2 linked regions of the Danio rerio genome follow. The main gene of each other region encodes a partner of the protein of the gene in region 2 in a complex. Links are inferred from orthologs where the notes say so. Each region holds a gene or a part of one and is shown on either strand. Other genes may lie near its edges. The genes, in order: aftpha and synrg.

Region 1 (3,185 bases), on a different chromosome or scaffold from region 2:
TATTATCTCATATTGTTCCAGTATGGTGCAGCCCTAATCTGATCATGCATCTACTCCTGCTGTCTCGTTTCCCTCTTTCTCTCCATAACCACCTTCTCCTGCTTCTGTGGTTCTGAAGCGAGTGGAGGCTCGTCTCTGCTCAACCTCGATTTTTTCGGCCCAGTGGATGAATCGCCCTCCGGCACGGCCACCTCTATTCCAGGTTTGACCAAACCTTTCTGTTTTAACACCAAATCTCTTTCTCTCTGTGTGTGTGTGTGTCTGTGTGTGTGTGTGTGTGTGTGTGTCCGTTCTTCTGCTCTGTTTGCATCTGTATCTTTAACTCTCTGTTTAAACTAGTGTTTTTGCATGTGTGTCTATGTGGGTGGTTGACAAATGTGCAGTAAATGTGTTTATTTGTTTTGTGTGTGTGTGTGTGTGTGTGTGCAGGTGTTGACCCAGAGCTGTATGAGTTGACCCAGGTAAAGCTGGAGGTCAGCGGGGGCAGCAGTCGAGTGGTGGATGCATTTGCTCGCCTCATGTCGACTGTAGAGAAGACCAGCACCTCCACCAGGTCAGTGAAACTCATTCACTCTCCACCAGAGGGAGCCGCACTGCAGTTCAGAATGAGTTCAGAACAGCACTGCTCTCAACTGTTCTGATGCATTGATATTAGTGTACACATATCAAAATGTTGAAACATTTACTCATATATGATCTGATCTGATCTTTCTTTCTCTGTTTAGTCTGATCTCACTCTCTCTATCTGATTGGTATTGCTATGATTTCTCTGATCTCTCTTAGATTGGTCTAATCACTCTTTGTGATTTGTCTGATCTTTCTCTGATTTTTATTCTTCTTTCCCAGACTAGTCTGATTTCTCTTTAATTGGTCTGATCTCTCTTTGATTGGTCTGATCTCTCTTTAATTGATCTTATCTCCCATTAATTGGTCTGATCTCTTATTGATGGGTCTGATCTCTCTTTAATTGGTCTGATCTCTTATTGATGGGTCTGATTTCTCTTTAATTGGTCTGATCTCTTATTGATTGGTCTGATCTCTCTTTGATTGGTTTCATCTTTCTTTCTGTTTACTCTGATCTCTTTTTATATGGTCTGATCTCTCTTTGATTGGTCTGGTCTTTATTTCCCAGAATGGTCTGATCTTTCTTTCTGGTTGGTCTGTTTTTTTTTAGTTGTCTGATCTCTTGGTCTGGTTAGTCTGATTTCTCTTTGATTTGTCTGATCTTTCTTTCTGATTGGTCTGATCTCTTTCTTTGATTGGTCTGATCTTTCTTTCTAATTTGGTCTGATCTCTCTATCTAATTGGTCTGATCTCTTTTTTTCTCTCTGATTGGTCTAATCTTTCTTTCTGATTGTTCTGATCTTTTTTTGATTGGTCTGATCTCTCTTTGGTTGGCCTGATCTTTATTTCCCAGATTTGTCTGATCTCTTTGATTGGTCTGATCTCTCTGTCTAGTTAGTCTGATTTCTCTTTGATTTGTCTGATATTTCTTTATAATTTGGTCTGATCTTTTTATCTGATTGGTATGATCTTTTTCTCTCTGATTGGTCTAATCTCTCTTTTTTTATTACTGGTCTGATCTCTGATGTCCCTTTCTCTGTAGTTGGTATAATCTCTCTTTCTGATTGGTCTGATTTCTGATGCCTATTTCTCTTTGATTGGTCTCGCCTCTATCTCTCTTTAACTGGTCTGATCTCTCAGTCTGGTTAGTCTGATTTTTTTTAATTGGTTTGATCTCTCTGTCTGATTGGTCTGATCTCTCTTTAATTGGTCTGATCTCTCGGTCTGGTTAGTCTGATCTCTGTTTAGTTGGTCTGATCTTTCTTTCTGATTGGTCTGATCTCTATTTCTTTAATTGATCTGATCTTTCTCACTGATTGGTCTGATCTCTGTCTGATTGGTCTGATCTCTGTCTGATCTCCCTCTCTCTTTCTCTCTCTGATTGGTCTGATCGCTCTTTCTTTGATTGGTCTGATCTCTATCTGATTGGACTGCTCTCCCTATTGATCTGACTTCTCTCTCTCTCTCTCTCTCTGATTGGTCTGATCTCTGATTGATCGGATCTCCCTGATCGATCTGATCTCTCTCTCCTCTCCCTCTCTCTCTTTTTGTCTGATTGCTCTGATCTCTCTTTCTCTGATAGGTCTGTTCTCTCTGATCATTCTGATCTCTCTGTCTGATTATTCTGATCTCTCTCTCTCTCAGCAGAAAGCCAGTGCCGAAGGAGGAGAATCTGAGCCCGGAGGCTCAGCGGGTGATCTCAGGCCTGCCGGATCTGTCCTTCATGCAGGCTAAAGTGCTGATGTTTCCCTCCACACTGACTCCTCTCCTGCCCTCGTCCTCTACGCCCGACTGACGCGCTCTTTTCCTCTCTTTCATTGTGTATCGCTCTCCAGCTCCACAATATTCGACCCCGTCTATGATTTTAATGCCATCCTTTCAGTTCTCTAGCTCTCGTTCCTCATTCTGCCCGTTTTTAAGTTCAAATACATCGTCCGGTACGTCAGAGAGAGAGTGCTAATCGGCTCAATTTGGCAGGATTAGATCATTTTATTCGTAGATTGATTGTAGGAAGAGTTTGTGTTAATATTAGAGCCAATCTGTATATAATCAGGGATGAGACTTTGTTTTCCTTTCGAGTGTTCTTCACCGTTACGTTAGTGTGTATGAGAGAGAAACCGAGGCACTTTGTTATTTTCCATGGTTTGTTTTTATGAAACACTGGCTTAAAAGTCCTTCAGCGGCACAAATGAGGATGTGAATGATCAGATTTGTACTTAGATTATATATAAATGCGTAGTTATATCGACTTGAAACCAAACCGCCTGCAAATTTCTCGATTTCTTTGGGGTTTTTTTGCATAACAAAGGCCTTAGTTTTTCATCATTACGGCTGACGTTAGGATTTATATCGTTAAAACTTTCGTAGGTTTCAGTTTTGTTGATTTCCCACATGCATTAGCGAACACTTCACGTTTCTGTTGTGCACATTATTGATTAATTATTGATTATCTTGATTTCACTCTGACAGATTTAGCTTTAATATCTAGCTGCTCATCTTTTGTTATTTTAACAATTTTTTTAATGCTAGTTGAAACCACTGGCTTCCGACTGTAATGTAGTGAAGGAATCGTTGAGTGAATGATTAACTTGGATATATATAAATATATAGATGTATCGAGA
Region 2 (3,827 bases):
AAATTGTTAAAATGACTATACAGTGCATCCGGAAATATTTATAGGGCTTCACTTTTTACACATTTTTTTATGTTACAGCCTATTCCAAAACGGAATAAATTCATTAATTTCTTCAAAATTCTACACACAATACCCCCATAATGACAATGGGAAAAAAGATTTTTTGAAATTGTTGCAAATCTGTTAAAAATAAAAACCCTGATAAATCACATGTACGTACGTATTCACAGCCTTCGTCGTAAAAGCTCTAAATTGAGCTCAGGTACATTCTGTTTCCACTGATCATTCTTAAGATGTTTTAGCAGCTTAATTGGAGTTCACCTGTGGTAAATTCAGTTGATTGGACATGATTTGAAAAGGCATACACCTGTCTATATAAGGTCCCAGGGTTGACAGTGCATGTCAAAAGCACAAACCAATAAGACAAGGGAATTGTCTATAGACCTCCGAAACAGGATTGCCTCGAAGCACAAGGCTGGGCAAGATAACAAAAAAAAAAATCTGCTGCTCTGAAAGTTCCAATGAGCAGTGACCTCTATAGGTAAGTAGAAGATGTTTGGAACCACCAGGAGTATTCTTAAGGCTGATTTATCCTTCTGCGTCAAGCGCACGGTATGCTACGGCACAGTCTATGCGTTGACGCATAGCCCTACGCCGTGGCCGTATGCGTTGCTCTTGAGCTCTTGACCTCAGACTGGGGCAATGGTTCATCTTCCAGCAGGACAATGACCCAAAAGCACACAGCCAAAATATCAATAGAGTAGCTTCACAACAACTGCTTGAGTGGCCCAGCCATCTCTGGAGACATCTGAAAATGGCTGAATACTGTCGCTTCCCATCCAACCAGATAGAGCTTGAGAGGTACTGCAAAGACGAATGGGCAAAAATTCCTAAAGACAGGTGTGCTAAGCTTGTGGCATCATATTCAAAAACACTTGAGGCTCTAATTGCTGCCAAGAGGTGCATCAACAAAGTATTGACCAAAGGCTGTGAATATTTATGTACATGTGATTTTTCAGAATTTTTTTATTTTAATCAATTTGCAACAATTTCAAAAAACTGTTTTTTCACATTGTCATTATGGGGTATTGTGTGTAGAATTTATGGAAATAAATGAATTTCATCCATTTTGAAATAAGGCTGTAGCATAAAAAAATATGGAAAAAGTGAAGCGCTATGAATACTTACCGGATGCACTGTAGTTAAATGAAAAATTCTTAAGAATAAAATATTATGTGTTCTTTGGAAGAAAATACTTGCATTACGATGCAATTATAGATTAAAAATGGTTATAAAATGAGAATATTATTGTTTATCGCAATAATTTTTGGTGCAATATATTGTGCCACAAAAAAATAAATATCATGACAGGCCTAGAGCATATTATTTGCAGGATTGTGTTAAATAAAATAATGCTTTCAAATTCACGTTTAAGGTATTGCATAATGCCTCTGTGTTGCATCTCATTCAGCATCAGAATAATTACAAATTTTGTGTGTAAAATGTTCATATACTTCTTTTTCGGTTCTCATTATTGACCAATCTATTTTCATTCTCTTGATACTGTACTGTCACTTAGATTGATAGTTCATCAAGTGATGAAGATGATGATGATATTACAATCACAACAGAACGAATGGATTTAAATTTTATCAGTTCCAAAATGTCAGTATGGAGCGTAAATACTGAAAAACTGGTAAATTAAAATGGCTGATTTATCATACAGGCAAACTAACATGTTTAAAAAAGCAAGGAAAACTGGATAGTCAATGAGGAATGGTATTAAAGCAACACGAACATACGTAAAACAGGAGAGAAAACCAAGTCACAAGCTATTAGAATTGAATACTGCATATAACTGTGCTTTTGTAACTGCCTGATCACCTGATAACACTAGGAGTTAATCATACCAGTTATTGTGCTGTTAGCAATAGTATTAATCTCATGAGATTTAAACTTACAAGCACAAGTTTTGACTGGTAAAAATTCATAATACACAACCTAAATTAATTAAATAAATAAATAAATATAAACAACAATAAATACTGTAGCCTTACAACTGTGCATGATTAAACTGGAAATGTATATAACTTGATTTGAAAATGACTGCATGATATGATGTGCATCAAGTTTTTGATATGTAACTACAACTCAGCCACAATGAACACATACAGCGTTCCAGCTGGGCATCTTGTTCTGCCTTTGAGAGGCCTCAGTGGTCTGAGCATTTGCGAAATAAAGAACAGACTTCACCAGAGCAAGCGTACTAATTCCTCACCTGCGGCTGGGGGTTGATGGGACGACAAACCAGGGAGGTCTAAGGAGCTATCAGACATCACATGCTTCAGGTCTCCACCCATGTCCGACAGCTTCATGTCTAGCTGTACTGAAAGCGCATCCTCAGAGTCCTCCTTCCCCACACTGCTGCCCCCGATGGATGGGAGGTCCAGGGACTTCACTGAGGTGGAGTCCTCTTTGGCCTGCTTGAAGGCAGCCACTTTGTCCACCAGGCTCTTGTCGGACGCACCCAGCGCCGTACAGAATTTGGAGGACTGAAAATCCGCAAAGTCGTCATTGTCACTCTTGAGTGACGAAAAGGAGCCCCCACCACTTTCTTTGTTATCATCGTAGGCCAGTCCACCTTCTAGAGAAAGCTGTTTGAAGACGTCGTATTTATCAGTACCGATTTGGTGCCTCTGTTGGGATGTCTCTGTCTGGCCTTCGCTATTGCCTTCTCTTGAGCTGGTCTCACTTCTCTGATCTCTCGAGCTGCCAAATGCCATGAAGTCAGCAAAGTCATCCTGAACCGTTGTACTAGCTCCTCTACCAGCAGCAGAGGTGGTGGGAGCTACTTCGGAGGATGAGGAGGAGCCAAAAAGGGCAAAATCGCCAAAGTCATCACCCCCCATGCTGGGAGGTTTCACAACTGCCGAGGGCAATACCAAGGATGGAGGAGCGGAAGGGAACAGGTTGAGTTTAGAGTCTGCAGTGGACGTGGGAGGAGCCATTGTCGTGAAGAGATCCAGGTCTGCCATATTGAGAGGATTTCTAGGTTGAGCCAGAGAGGCTGGCTGAGAATGGGACAGGGACTGAGAGGAAGCAAAAGGAGGAGGAAAGGTTGGCTGAAACTTGGCCTGGTCTGGTGGGTCTAGTGGAGAGACGGTGTCGGCTGTTTTAAAGTCTGTGAAGCCATCATCGGCACTGACAGACTTGAAATCAGCAAATCCCTCCCCTGTGGAAAAATTGAAAAAGAAAACAATTGAAGGGCATAGCAAACCACATTTCACACCCAAACAACAAAGGACAGAAAGCTGGCACTGCACAAAACAGAGTCTGCCTACAAGTCACCCAGCGTTCCATTTTTATGGGCCTAAAAGAGAAAAATGAATTAGTAATGCTCAATGCAAAATGTGTTTGACAGCTGAATTGAACTAAAAAAGTGGCAAAGGGATTTTCACTGAAGATTTCACAGCACACAAACACACACTCTTTTCTTGTGGTGAAGTAAAAAGTAGTTGACCAACGAATGTATAATATGGGGCCATTTTCAGATTGATGTAAATGGCCAATAAGCAATGTTTGTGACCTTATGTCAATTACAAAATTGTCTGACAGCCTAAGGCTGATAATCATATAGATCATGTATATTGGGTGGCATAGCTGCTTTAAATCAGGGTGCTTTCACACTTGGTCTGAATGCCTGGTCCGAACCCAAGTTTGATAGTCCCCCCCCCCAGCTGGTTTGTGTTTACACCACCTTTTTTCTTTCTGAATCCCGGGTTCCTTGCATTATCAAGCTGTTGTTTTGTGTACAGCTGTTGCCAGAT

What was found.
Region 1: synrg (region 2) and aftpha share a complex: the UniProt entries of both Homo sapiens proteins name them as parts of the aftiphilin/p200/gamma-synergin complex. The link is inferred for Danio rerio from reciprocal best matches to the Homo sapiens genes SYNRG and AFTPH.

Annotation. Positions count from the first base shown.
Region 1 is NC_133176.1:58,591,306-58,594,490, forward strand, and holds the end of aftpha (aftiphilin a), read left to right. Parts: intron 1-118; coding exon 119-202; intron 203-429; coding exon 430-553; intron 554-2,208; coding exon 2,209-2,359; 3' UTR 2,360-2,638; downstream 2,639-3,185. UniProt on the Homo sapiens protein: Component of clathrin-coated vesicles.
Region 2 is NC_133190.1:18,372,243-18,376,069, forward strand, and holds part of synrg (synergin gamma), read right to left. Parts: intron 3,233-3,827; coding exon 2,279-3,232; intron 1-2,278. UniProt on the Homo sapiens protein: Plays a role in endocytosis and/or membrane trafficking at the trans-Golgi network (TGN). May act by linking the adapter protein complex AP-1 to other proteins. Component of clathrin-coated vesicles.